Ovis aries: one gene and its partners. Each later gene encodes a partner of the first gene's protein in a complex. Links are inferred from orthologs where the notes say so. Each region holds a gene or a part of one and is shown in the gene's direction. Other genes may lie near its edges. The genes, in order: TAF13, TBP, TAF7, transcription initiation factor TFIID subunit 9-like and TAF5.

The links.
Region 2: TAF13 (region 1) and TBP share a complex: the UniProt entries of both Homo sapiens proteins name them as parts of the TFIID basal transcription factor complex. The link is inferred for Ovis aries from reciprocal best matches to the Homo sapiens genes TAF13 and TBP.
Region 3: TAF13 (region 1) and TAF7 share a complex: the UniProt entries of both Homo sapiens proteins name them as parts of the TFIID basal transcription factor complex. The link is inferred for Ovis aries from reciprocal best matches to the Homo sapiens genes TAF13 and TAF7.
Region 4: TAF13 (region 1) and transcription initiation factor TFIID subunit 9-like share a complex: the UniProt entries of both Homo sapiens proteins name them as parts of the TFIID basal transcription factor complex. The link is inferred for Ovis aries from reciprocal best matches to the Homo sapiens genes TAF13 and TAF9.
Region 5: TAF13 (region 1) and TAF5 share a complex: the UniProt entries of both Homo sapiens proteins name them as parts of the TFIID basal transcription factor complex. The link is inferred for Ovis aries from reciprocal best matches to the Homo sapiens genes TAF13 and TAF5.

Annotation. Positions count from the first base shown.
Region 1 is NC_056054.1:86,370,605-86,376,170, reverse strand, and holds the end of TAF13 (transcription initiation factor TFIID subunit 13), read left to right. Parts: intron 1-1,046; coding exon 1,047-1,144; intron 1,145-2,233; coding exon 2,234-2,404; 3' UTR 2,405-3,479; downstream 3,480-5,566. UniProt on the Homo sapiens protein: The TFIID basal transcription factor complex plays a major role in the initiation of RNA polymerase II (Pol II)-dependent transcription.
Region 2 is NC_056061.1:91,732,319-91,739,125, forward strand, and holds the start of TBP (TATA-box-binding protein), read left to right. Parts: upstream 1-2,508; 5' UTR 2,509-2,757; intron 2,758-6,807. Other genes in the region: PSMB1 (proteasome subunit beta type-1), read right to left, coding at 2,254-2,366. UniProt on the Homo sapiens protein: The TFIID basal transcription factor complex plays a major role in the initiation of RNA polymerase II (Pol II)-dependent transcription.
Region 3 is NC_056058.1:50,053,218-50,060,069, reverse strand, and holds TAF7 (transcription initiation factor TFIID subunit 7), read left to right. Parts: upstream 1-2,695; 5' UTR 2,696-3,396; coding exon 3,397-4,446; 3' UTR 4,447-4,962; downstream 4,963-6,852. UniProt on the Homo sapiens protein: The TFIID basal transcription factor complex plays a major role in the initiation of RNA polymerase II (Pol II)-dependent transcription.
Region 4 is NC_056065.1:58,197,646-58,203,522, forward strand, and holds transcription initiation factor TFIID subunit 9-like, read left to right. Parts: upstream 1-2,492; 5' UTR 2,493-2,630; coding exon 2,631-3,416; 3' UTR 3,417-3,547; downstream 3,548-5,877. UniProt on the Homo sapiens protein: The TFIID basal transcription factor complex plays a major role in the initiation of RNA polymerase II (Pol II)-dependent transcription.
Region 5 is NC_056075.1:23,656,116-23,662,975, forward strand, and holds the start of TAF5 (transcription initiation factor TFIID subunit 5), read left to right. Parts: upstream 1-2,414; 5' UTR 2,415-2,451; coding exon 2,452-3,010; intron 3,011-5,288; coding exon 5,289-5,526; intron 5,527-6,860. UniProt on the Homo sapiens protein: The TFIID basal transcription factor complex plays a major role in the initiation of RNA polymerase II (Pol II)-dependent transcription.

The DNA of each region.
Region 1 (5,566 bases):
CACCACGTCCAGTTTACCTTGATTCATGGACCTAGCACTCCACGTTCCTATGCAATACTGTTCTTTACAACATTGGATTTTACTTTCATCACCAGACACATCCACAACTGAGTATTGTTTCTACTTTGGCCCAGCTGCTTCATTCTTTCTGAAGCTATTAGTAGTTGTCTCCCCAAGTAGCATATTGGATACCTTCCAACCTGGGGGACTCATCTTTCGGTGTGATATCTTTTTTGCCTTTTTATACAATTCACAGAATTCTCAATGGCAAGTATACTGTGGTAGTTTGCTTTTCTTTCCTCCACTGGATCACGTTTTGTCAGAACTCTCCACTATGACCCATCTGTCTTGCGTGGCCCTGTGTGCATGACTCAGCTTTATTGAGGTATAAAAGCCCTTTCACCACGAGAAGACAGTGATCCATGAAGGGGTTTACCTATTAGCAGTTACTTTTATTACTTCGTATTATACTTTTCTTCTCTTTTGTGTTTTCTATGAAGCCTAAAAGGGCTTCGCTGGCAGTTGCTTTGATCCAGGGAATAAAATGTCAAGATTCTGTATTATAAGCTCTTGCTATCTCCTTTTGATTAACCAGTTCTTCCTGGAAGAAGGTAATTGGAGCTTTCTCTTATGTCCTTTTCCTTATAGTTGTATCATAAAGGATTTTGCCTTCTTTTTTCCAGCCCTCCTCCCCCCAAAAACAGCTAAACCATTGCTACTCACCCTTTTCCTGCTAAGAAGATTCCTACTTAAAGGTATTCTGGGGTTGTTGATGAGTAGATAATAGAGGTTAGGGAAGAATATTGATATCAGGGCTCAGTAGCTAGGCGACAAGGGGAGTTTCTACCTAGGGAAGGCTAGGTAAGAACAGTTGGTTATGAGCTAGTGGTTAATACCTTTCACACCAAAATTCATACTTGGAGACAACAAATATAATGTAAATATACTTTTATACCAATATCTTCTATACCTTGGTTCAATTCTAATATGAAAAAAGTATAAGTCAAGTTCTTTTAAGTAAACAAAAATGATTGTTCTTTTTACAGTACGGTGTATGATGTATGGGTTTGGAGATGACCAGAATCCTTATACTGAATCAGTAGATATTCTTGAAGACCTTGTCATAGAGTTCATCACTGAAATGGTAAGACTTTTTTTTTTAATTGGTCTTCGTTAACTGAGGAATGGATTTGAAATTCTAACTTTTAGAATAGAACTGTGACATACTTTTGAAAAACTATTCGAGTGCCTGTTTTGTGGAAGTTTCTGGTTACCGTTTATCATTAAGGATGGAGAGAGATATACATGTATATATATGGGTATACGGAGTTTGGCTGTGTTCAGTTCCTGTGAATTTTTACCCTTTGTTTTAGATTATTTCCTTCATAAAGAATAATAGAAGTAAAATTACTGGGTCAGAGAGTATGCATTTTAAAAAATCTTTTTCTGCTTATATTAAATTTAGAAAGTATTATTAAATTTATTTTATATATGCTTATATTAAATTTAGAAAGTATTAAAGAGTGCCCAGAAGAAAATAGAAAGCTATAACCCTTCTACCAAGGGATAACTGATGCTGAGATTTTTGTGAATATTCTTTTGTCTTTTTACACGTTTTAAAACTTTACAAAATTGAAATCATGTAGTACATACAGTCATAGAGCCTGCTTTCCCTGTGTCACTGCAGAATACTTTTAATATTTTTGATGGCTTCATAATATTAATTGGCTAGATGTACTCAAATTTGTTCAATGCCTTATTAAATATTTAGTTTCTTTTTTTTCAGTCATTAGAAATAATGCTGCAAGGAGTTTTTTGTTTTACACAGTATGATTATGTAATCATAGGGGATGAGATTTGTCTAAAGAAAAGCCACCAATATTTATTAGCTACCAAGATGGACACAAAGTTTAAATGAAGTGGGTGGTTACAGAGAAATTACAAAATCATTTTATACAAATGAAGATCAACTATATGTATATCAAAATACAAAAAGAAGCATCTATGGATTTGATAGTTTTAATGACTTTAGTGTAAAAAATGTCTGTCAAGCACTGAAACATTGCTAATAATGGTAGAAGTGGACAAAGAACATTAATAGAAAGACAATTCACAAATGAATAGCTATAATAATTAGAAGAGAAGTCTTCAAACTCACCAGCATTATAGTTAAAAAAATAAAATGTTAGATTTTTGAAAAATTAATTGAATTTAATATGTTTCTTTGTAATAGACTCATAAGGCAATGTCAATTGGAAGACAAGGTCGGGTACAAGTTGAAGATATCGTCTTCTTGATTCGAAAGGACCCAAGAAAGTTTGCTAGGGTTAAAGACTTGCTTACTATGAATGAAGAATTGAAACGCGCTAGAAAAGCATTTGATGAAGCAAACTATGGATCTTGACATCTTTTCTGAAGCTTCATTATGTTCTGGGGAAACCATACTTAATAACTGTATTTTCCACAGTAAGGCCCTGATACCTAACCATGTGAATGAAAAATGGAGAACCACAAAGTTTTCAGGCTTTATTTTCATGTTTTCAATTTTAGAGTGATATATGAGCCTTTAATTGCCTGCCATTATATTACCCTACTTGAATGACATATTAGATTTTAATGACCACATGTAAGTCAAAGTACCTTTGGTTTGCAAACCATTCAGTTTCCTCTGACTCTTGACCATCTCAATGATGAATTAATATTTATGTATACTTGTGCCATTGTAGGTTGTACTATAGCTGTTTAATCTGTGAAATCTAAATGGCACCTTTGACTTTGATAGCTAAGATGTGTTTCATATATTTCTAAAGCTTTTAGACCAAAGTATTGTAAGTTATTAAAAGATGGTGAACTGGTTTGTGTTTCTTTTAAGGAGAAAACAATATTAGAAAGTACAGTCTTTTGTAGGAGTGTTTATTTGTCTTAAGATAATTTAATACTCTTCTTTGGATAACAAGAGTGATTTTTTTTATTTTTTGAGAAACTAAGAATTTCCTATGAATGGTTCTGTGTTGAAAGACATACTGGATTAAAAATCTTTGGGGTTTATAATATACTGTTTGTCAGATTTTAAAAGAACTCGTTTTCCCAGGTCAGATTAAAACTTCAGAAAGTGCTTTCAGTAGCAGGAATGGCATTGCTGAAAAGTTGATGGCAGGTAAGCATTTCGGGTAGTGTTTTATTAACATATTTGTTAGTATTTATTTATTCTGAAAATGTATACTTGACTAAAACCATGTGTGGCTATGGAAACCACTTTTGTAGTTCACAAATTTTGTGTGTATTTAGCTCATTGTATTATTGCACTTAGCTGAAAGTAAGGATTAAAATTGCATTTAAAGGGATCACTGGATATTACTCTTTGTGAAACTGATTGTTTCGTGTGCCGCTTATAAGCATTGTCTATGAATCAGTATTTAGGAAGGTTTCACTTTCTTAACCTATCAATGTAGAGAATAAAGGATGAAAAATTAAAAAGATTACTGCTTGAGTTTGACTATATGATTTATCAGCTTTTCTCTCCCTTATAATTCACTAAAAACTTTTTTTTCTGTATTATTCTTGTAATGCTCCTGAATTGATTGTGAGATTCAAGATACCTGGCCTGATATTTTTATTTGAAAAAGCAAAAACCAGTTAAAAATCTACTTTAAACTGAAATCAAGATTGAGCGTGGAATAATAAAAGATCAGTATGTTACTATTTTTGCTAGTCAGAGTCTGCTTGACCCTGAAGAATGACCTGGTGGTAACCGGCAGAGTGGAGTTACACTGGGTGCCTGTATTAGTCAGCTTGGGCTCCCATAACAAAAATGTCAGACTGAGTGGCTGGCTTAAACAATGGAAATTTATGTTTTCACAGTTCTGAAGACTAGAAGTCTTGAGATCAGGGTGCCAATAGGTCAGGTACTGGTAAGGAGTCTTCCTGGACTGCAGATAGCTGCCTTCTCCCTGTGCTCACATGGCTGAGAGAGACCTCTTCTGTTCCTCCCTGTTATAAGGCCACCAGTTCTGTGGGATAACGATTCCACCCTTATGACCTCATTTAACCTTAAGCACCACCTTAAATGTCCTTTCTGCAGTCAGTTGGGGATTCAGTTCAGTTAAGTTGCTCAGTCATGTCCGACTCTTTGCCACCCTATGAACCACAGCATGCCAGGCCTCTCTGTCCATCACCAACTCTCAGAGTTTACCCAAACTCATGTCCATTCAGTCGGTGATGCCATCCAACCATCTCTTCTGTTGTCCCCTTCTCCTCCTGCCCTCAATCTTTCCCAGCATCAGGGTCTTTTCAAATGAGTCAGCCCTTCGCATGAGGTGGCCAAAGTATTGGAGTTTCAGCTTCAACATAAGTCCTTCCAATGAAGACTCAGGACTGATCTCTGTTAGGATGAACTGATTGGATCTCCTTGCAGTCCACGGGACTCTCAAGGGTCTTTTCCAACACCGCAGTTCAAAAGCATCAATTCTTGGCGCTCAGCTTTCTTTATAGTCCAACTCTCACATCCATTCATGACTACTGGAAAAACCATAGCCTTGACTAGATGGACCTTAGTCGGCAAAGTAATGTCTTTGCTTTTTAATATGCTGTCTAGGTTGGTCGTAACTTTCCTTCCAAGGAGTAAGTGTCTTTTAATTTCACGGCTGCAGTCACCATCTGCAGTGATTTTGGAGCCCAGAAAAATAAAGTCAGCCACTGTTTCCACTGTTTCCCCATCTATTTGCCATGAAGTGATGGGACCAGATGACATGATCTTAGTTTTCTGAATGTTGAGCTTTAAGCCAACTTTTTCACTCTCCTCTTTCACTTTCATCAAGAGGCTCTTTAGTTCTTCTTCACTTTCTGCCATAAGGGTGGTATCATCTGCATATCTGAGGTGATTAATATTTCTCCTGGCAATCTTCATTCCACCTTGTGCTTCTCCCAGCCCAGCGTTTCTCATGATGTACTCTGCATATAAGTTAAAGAAGCAGGGTGACAGTATACAGCCTTGACATACTCCTTTTCTTATTTGGAACCAGTCTGTTGTTCCATGTCTAGTTCTAACTGTCGCTTCCTGACCTGCATACAGGTTTTTCAAGAGGCAGATCAGGTGGTCTGGTATTCCCATCTCTTTCAGAATTTTCCAGTTTTTTGTGATCCATACAGTCAAAGCCTTTGGCATAGTCAATAAAGGAGAAATTGATGTTTTTCTGGAACTCTTGCTTTTTTGATGATCCAGTGGGTGTTGGCAATTTGATCTCTGGTTCTTCTGCCCTTTCTAAAACCAGCTTGAACATCTGGAAGTTCACGGTTCACATATTGCTGAAGCCTGGCTTGGAGAATTTTGAGCATTACTTTACTAGCGTGTGAGATGAGTACAATTGTGCGGTAGTTGGAGCATTCTTTGGCATTGCCTTTCTTAGGGATTGGAATGAAAACTGACCTTTTCCATTCCTGTGGCCACTGCTGAGTTTTCCAAATTTGCTGGCACATTGAGTGCAGCACTTTCACAGCATCATCTTTCAGGATTTGAAATAGCTCCACTGGAATTCCATCACTTCCACTAGCTTTGTTCGTAATGATG
Region 2 (6,807 bases), on another chromosome or scaffold:
TAACCACTGGACCACAAGGGGGGTCCTGGGGCTTAATGGTTTTAATTTCTTTATATCCAAGTCCTTATAAAATTGTCTTGCACTCAGGAGACACCCAAGCATCTGTTGGAAAATGGACCAACAAAGAACAATCTTTCCCCTCTGTGGCTCTGTTCAGTGGAGGCCGAGAGGATGAGCTCTAAAAGCAAACTGTGTGGGTTCGAAGTCTGGTTCTCTTGCTTAGAAAATATGAGATAGTCAACTGCTTCACTTCTCAAGGCCTCGCTGTCCTCAAGCACGTATCAGGGATCACAACAATCGCTACTTTAGTTAGGTGTTACGAGCATTAAACGGACTAAATTGTTAAGCCTTATACCAGTGCCTGAAACACAACTGGTCCTCCAGTTAAGTGTTAGCTATGATCCCCCTGGCCTAAGCATGATCACCGAGAACCTGGACTCTGAAGCTGCCCAAAGCCTGCCCGTGCCACTAGCAGCTCTGCGGCCTTGGACAAATCGCCAAGTTGGCGCTGTCAGCAGTCCCTCTGTCAAAGGCTGGCGAGCCGAATGGTGTGGCCTTGAAGTGCTCAGCGGCACGTGCACAGGCCAGTCACCTGGAGTCTGACCACAGTCAGTCAGACGAGAAGGACACAGGACCGAGTCTTATTTTGTAGAAGCAAAGGCTGCCCAAGAGGCAGCAATAGATGTTAAAGGAAAAGGACACAGACTAAGATAAGGGAATTCAATGTCAGAAAGCCATAAGCACTAACTTTGGAGCAGTGATTAGATCACAAAGGTTAGACAGTAATAAACACTGAATACCTTATAGTCTCAAGCAGAATCTGCAACTGTCTCATGAAATGGGTCTAATAACTCATTTTGTGATCCCACCACTTCATTAGTTGTCACAGGAAATATTTAAAAGTGCGATGATAAAAGCATTCATCAACTTCATAGCAACACAGGTATGGATTCAAGTCCTGGGGTTCAACTTCACACCAGCGCTATGACTAACAAAATTAAACTTCTAAGAGCCCAGGTTCATTTGTAAAATTGAGGTATATATCATCTAACAGTCAGTCATCATGAGGATTAAAAAGATACCTGCTTTCAATCTACAAAGTGCTTCTCTTTTGATTCTTCTCTCAAACTATGAGTAGCTAAGGAAGATAAGGAAATCTGGGTTCAAGGAGCTGAGAGGTAGGTACCAAACACTACACTGCTCTTTAGTGTCAGAGACAAGGCTAAAATCACACTTCCACCTTCTTTGCAAATACCCCAAAAATCTACATTAAAATTTCAAACCCATAAGACCTGAGTAATTAATCTGGTCTTTGGATGGTCCTTAAAGATTACCAGATTAATTTGGTGTGTACGTTTCAAAGTACAAAATTTGGCTGGCAAACTATAAACGATGCTTAAATACACAGCTCTTCGCAGTGAAGAGTCCTAAAGAGAGTGCCTTTCCACAACCCTAGTTCTTTCAGTGCACTGTCAAGGAAAAGTATTAAGATAAAGCGGGTAAGTTAAAAAGAAAGAAAAGCTCACATACAACATGCAAGAATACACACATTCAAAGGTCCGCCTTCTGAGTATTTTTCCCCTGAACTTACGCTAGCCCTTAAAACTAAACACTGATCAATGAAACTAAGTCTGTGCAAGTAATCCTACCTGCTATTTAAAACAACTCAAAATGGTGATTTGATTAGACCTATTAGCTAGACAGGGCTTCCCTGATGGCTCAGAGGTTAAAGCGTCTGCCTGCAATCGGGAGACCTGGGTTCGATCCCTGGGTCAGAAAGATTCCCCTGGAGAAGGAAATGGAAACCCACTCCAGTATTCTTGCCTGGAGAATCCCATGGACGGAGGAACCTAGTGGGCTACAGCCCATGGGGTCGCAGAGTCGGACACGACTGAGCGACTTCACTTTCGCTAGACAGCTATATTTAATCACATGGCCAATCAACCCTAACTTTTAATCTCAGATGTTCAACCTGCCCCGTGCCTGCTGGCTAGAGAAGCACATTCAGACAGGTCCATTTTTAAAGCTCTTCAGAGCGGAGGTCAGGTGTCAATTTCTATCTGCTGTCTACGTAAAGCTGGCCATCCACATCAAGATCCAGTGACCCGCCTATAAGGTGAAGCCCTGAAGAACAAGAGCTAGCCGAGCAACCTCGGAGAGGGAGGCCTGAGACTGGAAGGGCAGCGCCGGGCAGACAGACTTAAGCAGGGATATGGAGGAAGAAAGAGAAAGCGGCGGCTCTGCGGGTTTTACCCTCCGTTGAAAGCGTAGGGCGAAAAGCGCAGCTGCAAAGGGCCCACGGAGCTGTGCGGTTCCATGGCCAGGTCTCGGCCCGCGCCCGAGTACGAGGCAACGGAGGACAACATTCCGCGGCTGCTCTCCTGCTGTCTCACGGCAAGATGGCTGCCTCGACCGGAAATTGTGCCGTTTCCGGTTTCCGCGGCGCTGCCTCCGGCCGCTCTATCTCGCGCCAGTCGTTGCTCCTGGAGGCCAGAGCCCTCCCTTTCCAGTCGGTAGCTATTGCCTGCTCTACGAAGAGACCTGGCAGTGAGGTACAGGCTTTCTTTTCCAGGCAAATATTCGAAATCACTCGTGATGGATAGAAATTTTAAAGTCTGAGCTTACAAAGACATTGGAAAAACTATGGAGCAACGGAAACTCGAAGAGTCTATTGAAGTGTAAATTCGGAAAGGGACTGGCATTACTTGACATAGTTGAAAATACACACACATCATGACCCAGCAGTTTCACGCCGAGGTATGTACCCTGGCCAGAAGACGTGAAAGAATGTTCATAAAGATGTTCTTAATGGCCCCAAACTGGAAATGAGCTAAATATCCATAAACTGCAGAATGGATAAAGCAACTGAGGGATGTGGATGTGCAAAAGCAAGCAAATTAACTGACTTTGGCTAGAGGGAAAGGTCCTCCTTGGCTAGGGATGGGTTGGAGGTTGTAGTGCTAGCAATACTGGGTTTCTTTACTTGATTTAATGTTTGCCTGCTCAGTAGATCAGGCGTGTCCGACTCTGCGACCACACGGACTATGCCCATCAGGCTCCTCTGTCCATGGGGTATTTACAGGCAAGACTACTGGAGCAGGTTGACATTTCCTCCAAGGGATCTTCCTCCCCCAGGGATCGAACGCCCATCTCCCGTGTCTCTTGTACTGGCAGGCAGGTTCTTGGCCAACGAGCCACCAGAGGAGCCCTTGGTTGCTGTTGCTCAGTCGCTAAGTCGTGTCTAACTCTTTGCAACCCCATAAACTGCAGCCCGATAGGTTTCCCTGTCCTTCACTATCTCCCAGAATTTGCTCAAACCCATGTCCATTGTGTTGATCACATCCAACCATCCCATCTTCTGTTGCCCCCCGCCCCCCTCCTCCAGGCTTCCTTCTCCTGCCCTCATTCTTTTCTAGCGTCAGGGTCTTTTCTAATGAATCAGCTCTTTGCATCAAGTGGCCAAAGTATTGGAGCTTCAGCTTCAGTCTTTCCAATTAATGTTTAGGGTTGATTTCCTTTAAGATTGACTGGTTTGATCTCCTTGCTGTCCAAGGGACTCTCAAGAGTCCCTCCAACACCACAGTTCAATTCTTTGGCACTCAGCCTTCTTTATGGTCCAACTCTCACATCTGTACATAACTCTGGAAAAATCACAGCTTTGCCTATACAGACATTACCAGCAAAGTGATGTCTCTGATTTTTAATACACTGTCTCGGTTGGTCATAGCTTTCCTTCCAAGGAGCAAGCGTCTTTGAATTTCATGGCTGCAGTCGCTGCAGTGATTTAGGAGCCCAAGATCAAATCTGTCACTGTCTCCACTGTTTCCCCGTCTATTTGCCATGAAGTGATGGGACCGGATGCCATGATCTTCATTTTCTGAATGTTGAATTTTAAGCCAGCTGTTTCACTCTCCTCTTTCATCCTCATCAAGAGGCTCTTTAGTTCCTTTTCGCTTTCTGCCATTAGAGTGGTATCATCTGCATATATGAGGTTGTTGATATTTCTCCAGGAAATCTTGATTCCAGCTTGAGGTTCATCCAGCCACACATTTTGCATGATGTACTCTTCATATAAGTTAAATAAGCAGGATGACAGTGTACGGCCTTGATGTCCTCCTTTCCCAGTTTTGAACCCGTCCATTGTTCCATGTCTGGTTCTGTTGCTTCTTGACCTGCATACAAGTTTCTCAGGTGATAGATAAACTGGTCTGGTATTCCCATCTCTTTAAGAATTTTCCATTGTTTGTTGTGATCCACACAGTCAAAGGCTTTAGTGAAGTCAATGAAGCAGAAGTAGATGTTTTCCTGGAATTCCCTTGCTTTCTCTATGATCCAATGGATGTTGGCAATTTGATTTCTGGTACCTCTGCCTTTTCTAAATCCAGCTTGTACATCCGGAAGTTCTTGGTTTATGTACTGCCCTTACTTGATTTAATACCATCTATTAATCTGTATACATGTTTACATACTTCTTTATATGAATATCATATTTTACAATTTAAAAATGTTAATTAAAAAAAGCAAGCAAGCCTTTGACTAATATAGAATGGACTGCCTGATATATACATGCAATTCTGGAAGCAGAAAAAGATTTTTGAAAAGTACTTTTTTTAATTAAAACTTTTCCTATACTTTACTGTAAACAAAGCATAAAAGAAAGGGTTTTCTTTGATGGTTATGGACAGAGAAGTATTGTATTTATTCAGGTACTGTCTTGGATACAAAAATTCTGTAAAATCTTTCCTATCCTTAAGGAGCACACAACCTCATTGATTATGTGAAGCACAAAGGAAGCAAGCTAACAAGCATTACAACCTGCAATTATGCCTAAATGAACCATAGGATATTAGAGATACCAAAGGAACATTTCATGCAAAGATGGGCATAATAAAGGACAGAAGTGCTATGGACCTAACAGAAGCAGAAGATATTAAGAAAAGATGGCAAGAATACACATAAGAACTATACAAAAAAGCTCTTTATGACCCAGATAACCACAATGGTGTGATCACTCACCTAGAGCCAGGCATCCTGGAATGTGAAGTCAACTGGGTTTTAGGAAGCGTCACTACGGACAAAGCTAGTGGAGGTGATGGAATTCCAGTTGAGCTATTTCAAGTCCTAAAATATGCTGCTGTGAAAGTGCTGCACTCAACATGCCAGCAAATTTGGAAAACTCAGCAGTGGCCACAGGACTGGAAAAGGTCAGTTTTCATTCCAATCGCAAAGAAAGGCAATGCCAAAGAGTGTCCAAACTACTGCACAATTGCACTCATCTCACATGCTAGCAAAGTAATGCTCAAAATTCTCCAAGCCAGGCTTCAACAGTACTTGAACTGAGAACTTCCAGATGTTCAAGCTGGATTTAGAAAAGGCAAAGGAACCAGAGATCAAATTCCCAACATCCACTGGATCATTGAAAAAGCAAGAAAGTTCCAGAAAAACATCTATTTCTACTTTATTGACTATGCCAAAGCCTTTGACTGTGTGGATCACAACAAACTGTGGAAAATTCTGAAAGAGATAAGAATAGCAGACCATCTTACCTGCCTCCTGAGAAATCTGTATGCAGGCCAAGAAGCAACAGTTAGAACCGGACATGGAACAACAAACTGGTTCCAAATAGAGAAAGGAGTATGTCAGGACTGTATGTTGTCACCCTGCTTATTTAATTTATGTGCAGAGTACATCCTGTGAAATGCCGGGCTGGATGAAGCACAAGCTGGAATCAAGATTGCTGGGAGAAATATCAGTAGCTTCAGATATACAGATAACACCACCCTTATGCCAGAAAGTGCAGAGGAACTGAAGAGCCTCTTGATGAAAGTGAAAGAGGAGAGTGAAAAAGTTGGCTTAAAGCTCAACATTTAAAAAACTTAAGATAATGGCATCTGGTCCCATCACTTCATGGCAAATAGATGGGGAAACAATGGAAACAGTGACAGACTATTTTCTTGGGCTCCAAAATCACTGCAGATGGTGACTGCAGCCATGAAATTATAAGACGTTTGCTCTTTGGAAGAAAAGCTACGACTAACCTAGGCAGTGTATTAAAAAGCAGAGACATTACTTTGCTAACAAAGGTCTGTCTAGTCAAAGCTATTGTTTATCCAGTAGTCATGTATGGATGTGAGAGTTGGACTATAAAGGAAACTGAGCACTGAAGAATTGATGCTTTTGAACTGTGGTGTTGGAGAAGACTCTTGAGAGTCCCTTGGAATACAAGGAGATCAACCCAGTCCATCCTAAAGGAGATCAGTCCTGAATAGTCATTGGAAAGACTGATGCTCTAGCTCCAATCCTTTGGCCACCTGATGGGACAAAGTGACTCATTGGAAAAGACCCCGATGCTGGGAAAGATTGAAGGCAGGAGTACTGGAAGATAGAGAATGAGATGGTTGAATGGCATCACCGACTCGATGGACATGAGTTTGAGCAAGCTCTGGGAGTTGGTGATGGACAGGGAGGCCTGACGTGCTGCAGTCCATGGGGTCACAAGGAGTCTAACACGACTGAACGACTGAACTGAACTGAACCATAGGAGAGGTCCTCTGGGGTCCAAATTTACCTATAGTTCTTGTGACAAATGTGAAAAGACTTCAAAAGATGGCAGCAGGCCACCTGTTTTTTTTTTTTTTTTTTTAATCATTCCACATGTTTGTGAATAGCTAACACTGCTTACCGCGCGCCAGGCACTGTTTATGCATTTCCTTAATTCTTCTCACATTGTTGGGACAAGCGGTATTACCATTCCATCCTGTACATGAAGAAACTGAGGTGGAGCGGTCTGGTAACTTGCTCAATGTC
Region 3 (6,852 bases), on another chromosome or scaffold:
TTCTCCAAGCCAGGCTTCAGCAATATGTGAACTGTGAACTTCCAGATGTTCAAGCTGGTTTTAGAAAAGGCAGAGGAACTAGAGATCAAATTGCCAACATCCGCTGGATCATGGAAAAAGCAAGAGAGTTCCAGAAAAACATCTATTTCTGCTTTATTGACTATGCCAAAGCCTTTGACTGTGTGGATCACAATAAACTGTGGAAAATTCTGAAAGAGATGGGAATACCAGACCATCTGACCTGCCTCTTGAGAAACCTGTATGCAGGTCAGGAAGCAACAGTTAGAACTGGACATGGAACAACAGACTGGTTCCAAATAGGAAAAGGAATATGTCAAGGCTGTATATTGTCACCCTGCTTATTTCACTTATATCCAGAGTACATCATGAGAAACGCTGGGCTGAAAAAACACAAGCTGGAATCAAGATTGCCAGGAGAAATATCAATAACCTCAGATATGCAGATGACACCACCCTTATGGCAGAAAGTGAAGAGGAACTAAAGAGCCTCTTGATGAAAGTGAAAGAGGAAAGTGAAAAAGTTGTCTTAAAGCTAACATTCAGAAAACGAAGATCATGGCATCCGGTCCCATCACTTCATGGGAAATAGATGGGGAAACAGCGGACTTTATTTTTGGGGGCTCCAAAATCACTGCAGATCGTGACTGCAGCCGTGAAATTAAAAGACGCTTACTCCTTGGAAGAAAAGTTATGACCAACCTAGATAGCATATTCAAAAGCAGAGAAATTACTTTGCCGACTAAGGTCCATCTAGTCAGGGCTATGGTTTTTCCATCCGCCAATTATGGATGTGAGAGTTGGACTATGAAGAAAGCTGAGCAGTGAAGAATTGATGCTTTTGAACTGTGGTGTTGGAGAAGACTCTTGAGAGTCCCTTGGAATGTAAGGAGATCCAACCAGTCCATCCTAAAGGAGATTAGCCCTGGGTGTTCATTGGAAGGACTGATGTTGAAGCTGAAACTCCAATAGTTTGGTCACCTGATGCAAAGAGCTGACTCATTGGAAAAGACTGATGGTGGGAAAGATTGAGGGCAGGAGGAGAAGGGGACGACAGAGGATAAGATGGTTGGAATGCATCACCGACTCAACCGACATGGTTTTGGGTGGACTCTGGGAGTTGGTGATGGACAGGGAGGCCTGGCCTGCTGTGGTTCATGGGGTCCCAAAGAGTTGGACATCACTGAGCCACTGAACTGAACTGAACATTCTTCAACACGTTACAGAACAAAGAACTAAAGCACAATTATGTGCAAGTGCATAATTTCCCTGGAGACTTAGCATGAAAAACCAAACTGGGGTCAAGCCATTTAAATTCCACCCCATGATACGCAATATAAGTCTGCTGAAACCAAAAGGGACACATTCACATCTGCTGTTTGCAAACCTCCAGCCTCCTAACAATTTGTAGGACCCTTGACTGGAGAGGAAATGTCTATCAAGTGACTCTCTTTCATTTTAAGGCAATACAGAATGTATTTTCTCCCACAAATTATTAGAGGATTTAGATTATATTTATGTTCTTCGGATGGGTCAATTTTTTCATTGAATTACCAAATATTTCTTACGCCCCACGTTTTGATATGAGGCAATGGGACCAGATGAGCACACGGTTAGCCTTCTAATTATCATGGACCTTCCAATCTTCGGTGAGGGAGACAATAAGTACAAAATAAATAAAGTGAATTTTCTACATGTTAATCACATCTTAAGCGAGTTCCCTTAAACTTAAGATGCAGGTGTCGATATTTTAGAGAACAGAATTTTAATTTTAATGATAGTGGAACTCTACTAAATTGACCCTATTAATAAATGGAAATGAACAGAAGTGAAAACTCTTACACTGTTAGTCCAAAGTACTATAAATCCATGTTAAGAATACCTGACAACCTAAAGAGGCAAGTAGAAAAGTTAGCTCAACAGTAGGGGTGAATTTTTTTTTAATTCCAAACTAAAAAATTACTGGCAAATTAGTGGCAGGCGATAATACTTCAGTTAAAGGTTAATCAGACCATTCGTCTTTCAGACAACGGTCCTAAATGAACACGGTCCTCCCGAAGAACACTACGTTCCCTGTTTACACTTATACCTACACCTAACACATTAAAAGAGAAATCACCCTTGTTGCCTCAGGAAGTCTCCAAAACACAAACAGACCGTGAGTCACAGGCCCCCTAAGGACACTTTAATTATCAACAAACACAGAATTACATAGTGGGCAGCACGTCCTCACGCCACTGATTCGGGTACTTTAAAATCTACAGGCATGGTTAGTTATGAATTCTTTTATCGGCTCCAGATTTAAGAATATAGTCTGGGAGACTCTGAGATGTTTCCAGAAACAAACACTATTTCCGCACGGACGCCCTATCTCCAGTAATCACACGGAAGCCTAAGGAAGTAACCGGCCCCAGGCGAGCTAGTTAAAGCTCTGGCTTAGCAGAGGCAGGCGAGACAATCTTTCTTAGAATTGCTTTCTGTTTTAAACACTTTAAAGACAGTGATTGTTTTGGAAACATGATCGCTACCTTCTCCTAAAACCAAAATCTCGCGAGACAACAAGTCACGCCGAACGGCGTAATCGCGCGTTGCGCCTGCGCGCGCTGAAACGCCCTGCACTTCCGCCGAAGGCGTGCTGTCACTCACGGACTCCTCCTGTCCTGCGGGGTGACGTAACGCTTTCTTTTCCGCTAGCTCTGCAGCTCCGGACGGAGGCACGCCGAGCTGCGGAGTTGCAAAGTCTGGCGCTCGGAGCTGCGGTTCTCTGCGAGATTTCACCTTGCCAGTTCCGAGTCATTTCACCGATAATCAATAGCGGATCGCTTTGCCAAGTGCCGGGAAGAACAAAGGAATCAAGAAAGAGACGCTCTGCTCCCGGCCTTGTTCTGAGTGGCTTTTTCCGCTCGTTCCTGTCCGGAGAATCTGGATTTATAATCGTCACTGGATTGTAAGTACCCGAGGCGAAGAGAGCTCACTACGCCCCGCGTTTTGAATATCTTTGTTCCGGGAGAGTTTGTGGTTTGGGCGTATCTGCTGAGCCTTACTTTCTGTGCTGAAAATCCGTAGGAGCTGCCATTTGCTTTCTCTGCATTGTTCTGCAGCGGCATCTAGAGGTTGAAACTTGGCGTTGCAGCTAATAGATTTAAATGGACATAAACGAGTAAGACAATGCATCAGTAACAACTGGTGTTCAGTCACGGCGTTTTCAAAAAGACTTGGGACTTAATTAAAAACAGATATATAGCTGATGTTCTACCTAGAACTCTTTGTAATTAAGGATTCAAGTTTATACAGAACTGGTCTTTCTGGTGAAGTACCTGGAACTTTTTAGTGCAACAAGTGGTTATTAGAGAAAAAGTGAATTACAAAGAAATAAAAATGAGTAAGAGCAAAGATGATGCTCCTCATGAACTAGAGAGCCAGTTTATCTTACGCCTACCCCCGGAATATGCCTCTACTGTGAGGCGGGCAGTACAGTCTGGCCATGTCAACTTGAAGGACAGACTATCAATTGAGTTACACCCTGATGGGCGTCATGGAATTGTCAGAGTGGACCGAGTCCCTTTGGCCGCAAAGTTGGTAGACCTGCCGTGTGTTATGGAGAGTTTGAAAACCATTGATAAAAAAACCTTTTACAAGACAGCTGATGTCTGTCAGATGCTTGTCTCTACAGTTGATGGTGATCTCTATCCTCCTGTGGAGGAACCAGTTGCTACTGCTGATCCCAAAGCAAGCAAAAAGAAGGATAAGGACAAAGAGAAAAAATTTGTTTGGAACCATGGAATTACTCTGCCTCTGAAAAATGTGAGAAAGAGAAGATTCCGTAAGACAGCAAAGAAAAAGTATATTGAGTCTCCAGATGTGGAAAAAGAAGTAAAGCGGTTGCTGAGCACAGATGCTGAAGCTGTCAGTACCCGCTGGGAAATAATTGCTGAAGATGAGACAAAAGAAACAGAAAATCAAGGCCTTGATATCTCTTCCCCAGGAATGTCTGGCCACAGGCAGGGCCATGACTCCTTAGAACATGATGAGCTTCGGGAGATATTCAATGACCTCAGCAGCAGCAGTGAAGATGAAGATGAAACACAACATCAAGATGAAGAAGATATAAACATCATAGACACTGAAGAAGATCTGGAAAGGCAGCTACAGGACAAACTAAATGAATCAGATGAACAGCACCAAGAAAACGAGGGAACCAATCAGCTGGTTATGGGAATTCAGAAACAGATTGATAACATGAAAGGCAAGCTCCAAGAGACCCAGGACAGAGCAAAGAGACAGGAGGATCTCATCATGAAAGTGGAAAACCTGGCTCTCAAAAACAGATTTCAGGCTGTGCTGGATGAACTGAAACAAAAGGAAGACCGGGAAAAGGAGCAGCTCAGCTCTTTGCAAGAAGAGCTAGAATCACTCCTAGAGAAGTGAGGAGTGGTTTCATACTTAATTTCATTACTGTGAGAGGTCAGCATTGAAAGAGAAAATTTTTTTTGTTTTCATTGCTTGTAAAACTTTGCAGTTCGCAGTTTCTTCCACTGTCTTCTATTGGATTTGTCTTGTAGACAAATGTGAACTTCTATCTCATTTGTCTTTTGGAACCACTTTGCTAGGTGTTTATCCCATAGGAAGTAGGAATGTATAGACAGATAAATGTGGAGAAGTTGTAGGATTAGTGGAGTGAAAAGTTCAACTTTGTTATTAATCACAGCTTCATTGCAGGACTTTGTGGCTGTTTCTCCGTTTAGAAGCTTCCATTGCTACTCTGTGATGACATCTGAGGTAAATCAGTAGAGTCTAGTCTGGAGGCAGTAAAGTTTGTTTGCATATGTTTTTTGATGCTATAGCTAATTTTCCAGCTATTCAAAGCAATTTTTTCGTATTTTTGCATTGCAAGTCATTTCGTAACGTTCAACAATAAATAAAAGCAAGTTAAGTTTCACTTTATAATGTGTCTTGCTCTTTTAGGGGTAATGGATATTATCCTCTTCTGAAGTGGTTTCCTGGTGGGGTTTAATATATTGACCAATTGGATTCTGTTTTGTAGGAAAAGAAGCAGTTATGTTCGATTTTAAGAAAAGAACACAGCAAGGGCAAAGAAATCAGGCAGTATCACCTGCTCCATTTGGAGGTTAGGAAATAAAGAGCCTTCCTAAACTATCTGAATGTTTTTTCCAGCCTAATCTCCCATTCTTCCACTGTTTTCAATCCTGAGCTTATTTACATTTTTTTCAAGGAGTTTAATTACTCCTCTTCCTCTATAATAGTCTAATGGGATAAGTACTCTTATGCACCTGTCATACCAGAGTCTAAGTTACCTGTTGCTCATATCCTTACTAAGCTGTTAATTCACTGAGATTAGGCATTTTGCCTTGTTAGTCACTGTAAAGAAGAGTAAAGCAGTTAAAAATCACAAGGTCAGGTGATGTAGTGCCTGAGTTGAGTGATCTTGGGCAAGTAAATTAATCTGTTTGCTTCAATTTCCTCATTTCTAAAGTGGAGGTGATAATATCATCTACCTCGGGACCTTTGATTTTGGCTATTGACTTAATATAAAGGATTTGAAAACAATTTCTGGAATAGAAACAAATTATTGCCTATTTTCTAGGCAGGGTACAAACGTTACAGGGATTACAAACGTAATAGGGATTACAAACTTCAATGAAAGTGATCAAAATGGTAGAAAAGTGTATGAAGAAACTTTTAAATGTTGACTGATTTCAAATTAAAGAATCTAAATCAAAGCTTAAACTACAGCAGAAACAAAGTTTGTTTCCAGTACATACATCTACAGCATAAGCATACTGAGTTTACTGTAGCTTTTTTTGTTTGATTTATTTATGGTTTTGCATAAAGCCTCCATAATGAAGAGTAATTATCTGTTACATAACTTCAAAAGAGAACAACTTAAGATCCATTTCCCTTCATGTAAACCCAGAGTTTCCAAAAAAGACTCACTTTTCTCACAGCTCCCTTGTCTGATGAGTGTGATATATAGTTGGGCTACAGTTTTCAATATTTCTCTGAGTTTGTGAACAGAAATTGAATTTTAAAAAAAAGTTTAAAAGAAAAAACTCACTGAAAATTTTAAGCAATGCAGAAATTTTACAAATTCTTAATTTTACTCACTCCCCTATTACTGGTCACTTAGGTTGTTCTGTTTTAAATTTGCTATTACACAGAATGCTGCAATAAGCATATCACTGTGGCCTCCATTTTTCATTGTATTTATAGATTAGGTACATGGGGATCTTTATGTTCAGTTCTAAATGTCATAAAGCCTAGACATTTTGAATTTATAGATCAAATGTTTGAGATGAAAAATTGAGACAAATTGTGACAAGTCAAGTCTCTGAAGGACTGTGTCTTGAACTCTGCTTTTTATCTTTTTTAGTATCCAGTAAGAATTCTGTGTAAAAACAGACTAGGAAAACTGCTCACCACACAGGAAGTATAGATGTTGGCCTTTCTGTATTACAGATGCCCAGCTCTTTCACACTACAGAGCTTTACTCTTATTACACTTACATTTCCCTTTTTCTGGAACAGTCTAGATAATCTCATGGCTAGCTTTTTGTTACTCAGCCCTCAGTTCAGACTTTACTTTCTCTGGTAAACCTACCTGGCTACTCAATCAGATATCTAGGGACCATGTGATGTAGGTATGCATCTTCTTAAGAGTGATGGACTTCACTGAAAATCTGGAAATTTCATTGCCATTATTTTCCATGTATGCTTGGGAGTACGTGTGCTTAAATTTAAAACAGAAGCATCATAATTTTGATTAAGTTAGAATCAGGAAAAAATGGTTTCAGATGGTTAAGACTGCCTTTTGTCT
Region 4 (5,877 bases), on another chromosome or scaffold:
TTTCATTCCAATTGCAAAGGAAAGGCAATGCCAAAGAATGCTCAAACTACCACAAGATTGCACTCATCTCACACGCTAGTAAAGAAATGCTCAAAATTCTCCAAGCCAGGCTTCAGCAATACGTGAACTGTGGACTTCCTGATGTTCAAGCTGGTTTTAGAAAAGGCAGAGGAACCAGAGATCAAATTGCCAACATCCGCTGGATCATGGAAAAAGCAACAGACTTCCAGAAAAACATCTATTTCTGCTTTATTGACTATGCCAAAACCTTTCACTGTGTGGATCACAATAAAGTGTTGAAAATTCTGAAAGAGATGGGAATACCAGACCACCTGAGCTGCCTTTTGAGAAATCTGCATGCAGGTCAGGAAGCAACAGTTAGAACTGGACATGGAACAACAGACTGGTTCCAAATAGGAAAAGGAGTATATCAAGGCTGTGTATTGTCACCCTGCTTATTTAACTTATTTGCAGAGTACATCATGAGAAACACTGGACTGGAAGAAACACAAGCTGGAATCAAGAATGCCAGGAGAAATATCAATGACACCACCCTTATGGCAGAAAGTGAAGAGGAGCTAAAAGCCTCTTGATGAAAGAGAAAGAGGAGAGTGAAAAAGTTGGCTTAAAGCTCAACATTCAGAAAATGAAGATCATGGCATCTGGTCCCATCACTTCATGGGAAATAGATGGGAAACAGTGGAAACAGTGTCAGACTTTATTTTGGGGGGCTTCAAAATTACTGCAGATGGTGACTGCAGCCATGAAATTAAAAGACACTTACTCCTTGGAAGAAAAGTTATGACCAACCTAGATAGCATATTCAAAAGCAGATATATTACTTTGCCGACTAAGGTCCATCAAGGCTATGGTTTTTCCAGTAGTCATGTATGGATGTGAGAGTTGGACTGTGAAGAAGGCTGAGCGCTGAAGAATTGTTGCATTTGAACTGTGGTTTTGGAGAAGACTCTTGAGAGTCCCTTGGACTGCAAGGAGATCCAACCAGTCCATTCTGAAGGAGATCAGCCCTGGGATTTCTTTGGAAGGAATGATGCTAAAGCTTAAACTCCAGTCCTTTGGCCAGCTGATGCGAAGAGCTGATTCATTGGAAAAGACTTTGATTCTGGGAGGGATTGGGGGCAGGAGGAGAAGGGGACGACAGAGGATGAGATGGCTGGATGGCATCACTGACTCGATGGACATGAGTCTGAGTGAACTCCGGAATTTGGTGATGGACAGGGAGGCCTGGCATGCTGCGATTCTTGGGGTCTCAAAGGGTTGGACATGACTTAGCGACTGAATGAACTGAGCTGAACTGATGCTGAAGCTTCAATAATCTGCCTACCTGATGTGAAGAGCCAACTCTTTGGAGAAGACTCTAATGCTGAGAAAGATTGAAGGCCGGAGGAGAAAAAGGTGACAGAGGATGAAATGGTTGGATAGCATCACTTACTCAATGGAGATGAGTTGAACAAGCTCTGGGAGATAGTGAAGTACAGGGAACCCTGTTGTCCTGCAGTCTACGTGGTTGCAAAGAGTCAGACATGACTTAGCGACTGAATAACAATAACAACAATGTAGTATTTGGTTACTATTGACCTTCTGATGACACCTCAAAAGGAGGCATATCCACTTTATGTGATCCCAGATCACTGAGACATGATGATGTGGATGGCTGGATATCTAGAGCAGACAATGTCAATCACTAAGGATCCTCAGAGGGATGAAGCAGGACAGCAAAAGATTTCATCACATTCCTTGGAATGGCAAAGAATTTAAATGTGAATTGTTTGTTTCTGGAATTCTCGTTTGATATTTTCAGACTGTGGTTGACCACAGGTAAGTGAAACTCTGGAAATAAAAACTGTGGATAAGAGGAAACAACTGTATATAAAATATGATATATATTGCAGTATATTGCAGTTCCTTGGACTGCAAGGATATCTCACCTGTCAATCCTAAAGGAATATTCACTGGATAGACTGATGCTGATGCTGAAACTCCAATGCTTTGGCCACCTGATGCAAAGAGCCGACTCATTGGAAAAGATCCTGATGCTGAGAAAGATTGAAGGTGGGAGGAGAAGAGGATGACAGAGGATGAGATGGCTGGATGGCATCACTGACACAATGGACATGAGTTTGAGTAGGCTCCTGGAGTTGGTGATGGACAGGGAATCCTGGCATACTGAAGTCCATGGGGTCGCAAAAAGTCAGACACGACTGAATGACTGAACTGAGCTGATATTGCAGTAAAAACGGATGAATACAAGAATATTTTCTTTATCAAAGATAAAAAGCATGATCGATATGCTAGGAACTGTTTCCTAAGTTATTTCCTATATTAACATGTTTAACTGATATATAAAAATACAGTGAAATATTGAAGTATTATTACCTCCATTTTGCATAATGAATTATTATTAGCTCCATTATTACCTCCACTGGGTATAGAGAATGTGTATAAAAACCTAATTTAAAAAAAAAAAAGCGATGTTGCTTCCGAACATCCTGCTCACCGGTACACCAGGGGTTGAAAAAACTACATTAGGCAAAGAACTTGCATCAAGATCAGGACTGAAATACGTTAATGTGGGTGATTTAGCTCGAGAAGTTTGATCACCGGATATCATGGAGTCTGGCAAGATGGCTTCTCCCAAGAGCATGCCGAAAGATGCACAGATGATGGCACAAATCCTGAAGGATATGGGGATTACAGAATATGAACCAAGAGTTATAAATCAGATGTTGGAGTTTGCCTTCCGATATGTAACCACAATTCTAGATGATGCCAAAATTTATTCAAGTCATGCTAAGAAAGCTACTGTTGACGCAGATGATGTGCGGTTGGCAATCCAGTGTCGTGCTGACCAGTCTTTCACCTCTCCTCCACCAAGAGATTTTTTATTAGATATTGCAAGGCAAAGAAATCAAACCCCTTTGCCATTGATCAAGCCATACTCAGGTCCTAGATTGCCACCTGATAGGTATTGCTTGACTGCTCCAAATTATAGACTGAAGTCTTTACAAAAAAAGGCATCTACTTCTGCAGGAAGAATAACGGTTCCACGGTTAAGCGTTGGTTCAGTTACTAGCAGACCAAGTACTCCCACGCTTGGCACACCAACCCCACAAGCCATGTCTGTTTCAACTAAAGTAGGGACTCCAGTGTCCCTCACAGGGCAAAGGTTCACAGTACAGATGCCCACTTCACAGTCCCCAGCTGTAAAAGCATCAATTCCTGCAACATCAGCTGTTCAGAATGTTCTAATTAATCCGTCATTAATTGGGTCCAAAAATATTCTTATTACCACTAACATGGTCTCATCACAAAATACTGCCAATGAAACATCAAACACATTGAAAAGGAAACATGATGACGATGATGACGACGACGATGACTATGATAACTTGTAATCTAGCCTTGACGCATGTAACTTGTATACTTGGTTTTGAATCTGTTGTACTGAGATTAAACATGCATGCTGGATATTTCCATGTTGTGTTCTAGAAAGAATAGTATTTAATGAGTAAATATGCTTACCATACTTTTTGATTGAGCTGTTGTGTTAGATTTTCTTTGATAGGATTAGTAATGGTTTCTCGTCACCCTTTAAGTGTAAAAAATAAAGTTGCAATTCGTGCATTTAAAAAAAAAAAAAGCAAATCCAGAAGACTGCATATAGAAGACTGCATACAGAATGCTACCTTATTTTACTAAAACTAAAAATCAAACAATGCTCAAGATTATGTTATTTAGGAATATATATGCAAGAAAAAATTTTCCAAGAATGGGTGTATTATATGGTTAAAAATTAAGAGAGTAATTATCTCCAGGAGATTAGCAGACCTACAGATGGGTGATAGCTTTGAAAGTATTAGCAATGGTCTAGCTCTTATGACTTTCCCGGCGGCTCAGAGAGTAAAGCGTCTGCCTACAAAGTGGGAGACCTGGGTTCAATCCCTGGGTTGGGAAGACATCCTGGAGAAGGAAATGGCAACCAACTCCAGTATTCTTGCCTGGAAAATCCCATGGATGGAGGAACCTGGTAGGCTACAGTCTACAGGGTTGCAAAGAGTTGGACACGACTGAGTGACATTTACTAATATTACTTTAGCTCTTATGACAGGTGGTAGATTCATAGTTGATGATTACAAGATGATGCTTCATAACTTTTATAGGCATTATATATAGTTTTACTTATACCAAAATTATACTTTAAGAAGTTTAGCACCTGCATTTTGTGATATTTAGATTAACTGTTCAGGGGCTATTTTTCTTATTTCCTGGTTTCCAGCTACAGTGCTTAAGAGATAGGATTACTAGGTAGCTGACTTCTAGAGCAGCAAACAAAATTATAACTTTTTTTTCTTTTCAGTCTGGGTAGTCATTCTAAACATAAATCAGTTTCAAAATAATGCTTATAAAAGAATAAATGGTCCCACTAAATGCAAAAAACAATTTGACCACTGAGAAATATGTTAACAGCTTTCTCAAATCAATATGCCAACATTATTGTAATTTCTGAATAATGGTAATAAAAACAACACTTCCAGATAGAGCTCTAACATGTAAAAAGTTGTGAAGCTATCAAACCTGTCCTTAAGACAAGAAAACATTTTATAAACTAAAACCAGTGACTTTTGTTGAACAACAGAAAACTGAATTTGTAGGGTTAATTGTTGCTCCACAGTCTGGACATGCAGGCACATTCAGAGAGACAGAAGATCTGCTTACCTGGAGCAGAAGCTGATGAAGCAACAGATAAGAGCACTTAAATAGTAATTTTGATGAACTGTTGATAGTGTGGACTAGTATAAGAGGAAATTCTGGAGATCACAGTCTAAGGGGTTCAGTACTTGTTCCATGCAGCTCACCAAGTTCTCACTGTGAAGATTCGAGAATACCTTATGGCTCTGGCAGGGCTGGGGATAGAAGAGAAATCACTGCAAAATGCATTCAGAGCACTTTCCATCAGGAAGACCTAAACTCCAGGGGAAAAGACTTTACCAAATCCTTCCCCAGCTGGGAAAGAACATTTCTCCCACTGTGCCTTTCTCTATCCTTCCCATTACATTTTAAAAGTGAACAACATCTATATCATTGGAAAAATATTTGTAACAGTCACAGACTAGAACCACAAGCCTAAACCAAGATTTAGTCACAGAAATATAAAATTCTTTCTTTCCCCTACATCTGGCCACTATACCAGGGATCCAGAGTACAGTGAATTACAGATGAAAGATGTAGACTCTGTCTGCAGAAGAGTGAGATGGGAGTTCAAAAATAAAAGGAGAGATAATAACAAGAACACTGGAGGAATTTGAAGTCTCTGGTAACTACAGTACCAGCTAACATTGAACACAAACTTATAGCCAGATTAACATAAATTCTCACACTAATGACATCTAGACTTCACTACTAGTTACTTAATACATGTACATCTTTCAACAAAAAGCTGTAAGACATTAGAAAGAAAGAAAGAGGGAAAGGAGAAGGAAGAAAAGAAAAGGGAGGGAAGGGAGGGAAGGTGGGAAGATGGAAACTGTGAAGAGCCAAAGCAAGCATCAGAATCAGACTCAGTTATGACACAGATATCAGAATTACCAGATATGAAATTTAATGTTACTATGACTAATATGTTAAGGGCTCAAATGTAAAAATAAACTGTCAGAAGAACAGATGAGTAATGTAAGTAGAGTGATGGAAACACTAGGAAAGAATCTAAAGAAAAAAGTGAGAAGTCAGAAACATTGTAACATAAATAAATAATGCCTTCGACAGGTTTATTAGTAGACTGTACATGGCCAAAGAGAGAATCAGTAAGGTTGAAGCTGGGTCAATAAACTTCCCAAACTGAAATGCCAAAAAAAAAAA
Region 5 (6,860 bases), on another chromosome or scaffold:
AAGGAGATCAAACTAGTCCATCCTAAAGGAAATCAATGCTAAATAGTCATTGGAAGGACTGATGCTGAAGCTGAAACTCCAATACTTTGGCCATCTGATGAGATGAACTGACTCACTGGAAAAGACCCTGATGCTGGGAAAAATTGAAGGCAGAAGGAGAAGGGGATGACAGAGGATGAGATGGTATCCTCTGGGTGGCATCATTGGATGCCATCATTGACTCTATGGACATGAGTTTGAGTAAGCTCCAGGAATTGGTGATAGACAGGGAAGCCTGGAGTGCTGCAGTCCATGAGGTCGCAGAGTCGCATACAGCTGAGTGAATGAACTGAACTGAACTATCTGGTGTTTTCAAACTGCAGATCATTTAAAAATTAAATTAAAATAAATTTAATCAGTCATACTGAGCATTTTATTTAAAGAACAGACTATCAAATATTAGAGTATATATTTCAATGTGATAATTATACATATTATTGTTAAAACTTGTCTCACTTATAAATATCCACATACCTACGTGGGTTATGGGTTCTGGTGTTAAACATATTTCTTACTGTGAATCATGGCCAAAAAAATTGAAAGCTCCTGGTCTAGATCAGTTTGTTCAACAGAAATACAAGGTGAGCCACATATGTAAATAAAAATTTCCAGAAAACTTTCCACAAAAAAGTAAAAAGAAATAGGAAATTAATTTTAATATTTAACTCATATAAAAATACTTTTCAACATGTTACCAATAAAAATATTATTGAGCCATTTTATTCTTTTTGTCTTTAAAATCCAGCACATATCTCACACTTAGAGAACACCTTAGCTCAGACTAGGTACATTCAGTGGCAGTAGTCAATAACCACACTATTAAGTTGCTCCTGGAGTAGTGCAGGTCAGTTTTGCAATTACCTACCTTAGGAGGCAAACTCTAAATTCACTCTTAGCTTTGTGAATTTAAACTTAGGAACTGAACAAGATTGTAAACTCACACCAGTGGCTACCTCTCCCATCACACTCAACCCTAGAGATGGCACTGAAATTGATAGATCAGTAAAAACTGTGAAACCTCTGAGGATATGTGTGTGTGCATGTGTGCATGTATGTTGATAAACAGGGAGTGATGGGGCCAACACATCACAGGTTTTCCTGTTTTGGGTGCATCCTTCACCTTTTACCAATGCTAGGCTTTAGCCTCTCCTTCTGGGTAGACAAGGTAGCTGATACCTTCCGGGAAATACAAATTCATAGAGAAAAGTAATGAGATGCAGAGGAAGGTGCAACTGCTAGTAAAGCAAGAAACTGAACAACTTAAATGCTCATCTCCTCCCCCCTCTCTGCCCTTGCCCCTACCCATGTTTCATAATCTTACATTATGTCAAATTCCACTAGTTTTATATTTCAGTCTTGAGATCACCATGTATGTCATGATTAGACTTTCTTAGGAAACATTTGCAGAACACCGCTTAAGGTTCAGTAAAAATAACCAATAGTTATTTATTATGTGTTTAGTTCAGTTCAGTTGCCCAGTGGTGTCCGACTCTTTGCGACCACACGGACTCTATCTTATTTAATCCTCACATAACTCGATCTTCCCCATGTCCCAAGTTCACTTTTCTTGTCTGCACCTATCTCATACCGTTGTGAGAGTCAAAGGAGACCAAATATGCAGCGCAGATTCTTTACCGTCTGAGCCACAACGTAAGTCCTCAAACATGCAGCAGTGCTTTTAAACCTATGAAGCATGTTGCAAAATGGCACATACTGTTTTAAAATATACAACTAAAATGCGGCCTGCTTGTAATAATGGTTAACATAGCACGAATACAGCATATACACATTTCACAATCACAAAATTCAGGTTCTTAAAAACTTTTTATTGAAATATAACATATATGCGTAAAGTTCACAAAACGTGAGCTTGCAGCCCAATTAATTTTTATAAGGCATAAATGGGAAAAAGAAAAGTAACCGCCATCCAGAAAAAAATATAAACATTACCAGTAACTCAGAAGCCTCCTTCTGGTAAATGATATATGCTTTTAAGATAAAGACCTGGTTTTGAATCTTGACGCTTTCCTCCTGTGTGACTTTGGCATTTAAAAAATGTCTTTAGGTCTTGATTCAGTCATCTGTATCGTGAGAATAATGGTACTTTATATGACTGCTGAATAAAAGGTCACATAATGTAAAACGTCCATCGCAGTGCCTGAAAAATAGCTGGTCTGTAATAAATGTAACTATTATCCGGCAAATGCAAGAGGCTGCCCCGACGTCCCACTTCCTGCCTTTTTGCCACTCACTTTTGAAAGTTGCTCTTGCTGCGATTCCTTTTTCTCCTTCTTTATCGCCCCTCCTACTGCCGTAAATTGCCCTCCAGAGATGTCGTAAAACGCTCCTCCCCGCCCTCCATATGGCGAAAACGCAATCACGCTTGACGGCGCGAGGTGGCTCAGCCGCAAGATGGCGGCGCTGGCAGAGGAGCAGACGGAGGTGGCGGTGAAGTTAGAGCCTGAGGGACCGCCGACGCTGCTACCTCCGCAGGCGGGGGACGGCGCTGGCGAAGGTGGCGGCGGCACAACCAACAGCGGCCCCAACGGCGGCGGCGGGAACGTTGCGGCGGCGTCGTCGGCCGGCGGGGATGGTGGGACCCCCAAACCCTCGGTGGCTGTCTCCGCCGTTGCACCGGCGGGGGCGGCCCCGGTGCCCGCCGCTGCTCCGGAGGCCAGCGCTCCCCACGACCGACAGACTCTGCTCGCCGTGCTGCAGTTTCTACGGCAGAGCAACCTCCGCGAGGCCGAAGAAGCGCTGCGCCGTGAGGCCCGGCTGCTGGAGGAGGCAGTGGCGGGCTCCGGAGCCCCGGGAGAGGCAGACAGCGCCGGCGCTGAGACAGCCAGCGCGCTTCTTAGCCGGGTCACCGCCTCGGCGCCCGGCCCTTCGGCCCCGGATCCTCCAGTCAGCGGCGCTTCGGGGTCCGCCGCCGTCTCGGGCTTAGCGACAGGTTCTGTGGCTCCGGGTAAAGGTGAGCCGCTGGGTCCGGGGTAGGCAGGACCGGCACGGCGGGGAGTGAGCCGGGAAGGCAGAGGCTGGCAGGCCTGCACCTCTGCGGGCTTGTTTTGAATTTCCTGGGCCCGCCTCTAGGGCCACATGCCCGCCCCTTTCCCTAGTGCGCCGGCTGCGCAGTCAAACCCTCTTCCGAGCTGTCAGTTCCAGCGAGAGGCTGTGGAGAGCTATTGAGCCGAAGGATGTATGGGGACGGTGGGCGCGGAGAGGCGGGAACTTCCAGGCTTTTGGTTCTTATTTGGGCTCTTGAGCTTTGGGCAGGGATGCAGCAACATTATTTGTACTAGCGTACTTTTACTATAAATATTTTGTGTTGTTTATCTTAATTTTCACAGTTCCACTGTGAGGTAGACAGTACTTCTATTTTAGAGATGAGAAACCAGACCGAGAAAGGCCAAGGTATTTGCTTTGGACCGCACAGCCAGAGAGTGGTGGTACATAGTGAAGCCAGTCTTTCTCAAAATATAGGCTAAATACCATTGGTATCAAATCTTTTAGAGAAATGCAGATTCCTGGGCATCACTTCAGACGTAGTGAATCAGATCCTGTGAAGGTGGAGTTTGGGAATCTGCATTTTCAAATAAATGCTTCAGGGACTTCCCTGGTGGTCCAGTGGTTAGGGAACGCATGTAAGAATTAAAGATTTTAAAATTTAAAAAATAAAAACTAAAAAAAAAAAAGAATCTGCCTTCCAACGTAGGGCATGTGGGAACGTGGTAGGGAACTAAGATCTCTCAAGCGTGGGGCAACTAGGCCCGCGCTCTGCAACTACTGAGCCCGCATGCGGCAAGGAAAAATCCTCGGAGCCGCTAGTAAGATCCAACGCAGCCAAAAATAAATAAATATTCTAAGGATTAAAAAAAAAAAATGCTTCCAAGAGATGTTGATCTATGGCAAGGTTTGAGACCCATTCATTTAGGAACAGGTATTGGACTTCAGTTTCTGTCTCTGTTGCTTTTACTTGTGTGATGCTGATTGTTACTCTTCCTAAGCTTGAGAGTTTTTTTCCTTCTATTAAACGGGTTATTGTGAGATTCATATATATGTAAAATGTCTGGCACTGACAAGTTTATGCCAAGTACCTATCCCTGACACCTGAGGCTCCCGCTCCCCTTTTCCTTCAGCAACTGTTGTCAAAAAGTCCATGCAGTAAAAGTCATATACAACATAAAGTTTCAAAGGTGATCCTGAGCCAGTAAAAAATGTTTATTGAATTAAATTACCCATTGTAGAGCCTCTTGCCAAATTAACCTGTGTTTATGAGACCTAATCTTGGCAGCATTTCCAGGAGTGAGGTATGAATAAGCGCTGTAACCCATAAGTAGAACTGTGTGCAAATGTGATTGAGAGGAATCTTTTTTGAATCTGAATTTGGGAATGAACTATAAGATGGATGAATTATGTGGTTGATTATTTTGCTATAATCTCTCATCTCTTTAGAAACTTGACCTTCAGATTGTAACTGAGAAACCAATAGAAAGGAAAAGAGGCCATCATAGTAACCAAAAAAACTGAAAATTTGTGCAGTAAAGAGCATAACAGTACTGTAATCACAACTTAAAAAAAATTTCCCACAAACCCTCATTTGATTGACAGATGTATCGTTGTTTGGTATTGAAATATTACAAATAAATACTCATGCTTTTTGCCTTGAAATGGTGGTTATGGAAATTGTTTTAAGCATATAAAATAGATTTATCTTTTGGAAATATAAAAGGCAAGTTCTTCCCACCATTAACATGGTTGTATTTTATAGGGAGTGATAGATGGACATACGTGAAGGTAACACAGGATAAGATATGTTGCTGAAAAGTTATAAAATACTCAGGTAGCTCAGAGGGCTGGGAATGTTACTCCAGGGCATGGCTTTGTGGTGGTGAGTGCCATTTGCACTGAGCCTTGAGAGAAGAGTAATACCGTTGTTTGATTTGCACATACCATGTTTTATAAAATTTGTTTTTAAAATAGTGAAGCTCTAGGAAAAATGCTGAATCTTTTTGCTGTTGATCTGAAAATTTTTATTTTAAGATGTGGACAAACCAAGGAAGTGTTGGATGGGTAACTGAAACAAACTGAATCCCATTAAAAGATTTTGTGATTGTGTCGGGGAAGAGTGTTTGAGAGGAGAGGGACAAACATCTGTGAAACAGTTCTCCTCTGGACCTTAACAAAACAGCCTTAGTCTTTTGGTGCTTGTCAGGTCATTTTCTTGAAGTTATTTTTCATTTTTTAAACAGTTGGAAGTGTAGCTGTGGAAGACCAGCCAGATGTCAGTGCCGTGCTCTCAGCCTACAGCCAACAGGGAGACCCCACGATGTATGAAGAATACTATAGCGGACTGAAACACTTCATTGAATGTTCCTTGGACTGCCATCGGGCAGAACTATCCCAACTCTTTTATCCCCTATTTGTACACATGTATTTGGAACTAGTCTACAATCAACATGAGAATGAAGCAAAATCATTCTTTGAGAAGTATGTGAATTTATAAAAAATATGTATATATAGCTATATATATACACACACACACAAAATGTTTATATACATCTGTAACTACACAAATGTCAGATTGCAACTCGAAAAATACTTTATGAAGGAGAGGTACCTGGTGCCTCTGCTAAACTTAAAATGAAGGGTTTGATCTTGTTGAAGTCAGGAAAGGCTCCTAGAGGTGATGTTTGAGATAGGATCTGAAGGCTGGAGAGGAGTTAACCAGAGGAAGAGAAAAGGGAAAAACTTGTGTGACAGCCCTGTGGCAGGAAGGATCATGGTAGGCCCCGAGGTGAAAGAAGGCTAGTGTGGCTGGAGCAGAGTATGGGGGGTGGGGTTTGGTACTACATGAAGCTTGATGGTTGGTTAGTGGCTGGGACAGGCAGGTTCTTAGGCCATGTTGAGGGTCTTTGTTTACCCTAAGATCAGTAGTTAGTCATATTGGGTGGGATTAGATTTGGCTGAGATTCACTGAAAAATCAAACAATAGCTGCCTAAATAAAAATTTTATTTTTGCTTCTAAGAGCAGTAGAGAATTCACCTGCAATGCAGGAGACACAGGTTTAATCCCTGGGTCAGGAGGATCTCCTGGAGGAGGAAATGGCAACCCACTCCAGTATTCTTGCCTGGAAAATCATATGGACAGAGGTCCTGGTGTGCTACAGTCCATGGGGGTGCAAAGAGTTGGACACGACTAAGCATACACGCACTGCTGCTGCTACTAAGAGCAGTATGAAGCTGTGTTAGGATTAGATTACATGAGAGTGACTAGAACCCCAAACAGTATAGGCTTGAGTATAATAAAATTCTGTTTCTCTCTCTCATGATGGAAGGCATTCTAGGACTGGTATGGAGTCCTTTGTGTCTCTTGATCATGTAGTGCTAACATCCTTGTCATGCAGTTTCCACTGTGGTACATGGTGACTCTCCAGCTCTGAGAAATCAGATAAGTGTTCGAGTGAGCAGGGAGGGTGCACATCCTTCCTGGAAGTGCAAGTATTTCTCCCTTTTTTATGTCATTAGTCATTGGCCAAGGAAGGTAGGAAATATGGTCTTTACCTAGATGTCTGTGTGCTCAGCTAGTATTCCGGTGTTTTATTGTGGAGGAAGAAAGAAAAAAATGAATATCTGGGGACAGACATCTTTGCTGTTTGCTACAGAAGTTGTTGAAGAACCATGCTTTATTAGATTTTATGTTTTGAAAGGACCTTTATGTTGGGGCAAACAATGATTGGGGGGATGAAGTGATCATAGACCGATTATTTTGGAAGTTATTGTAGTGATTCTCAACTGAGTGTAATATTATTCCTCCTTCCTGG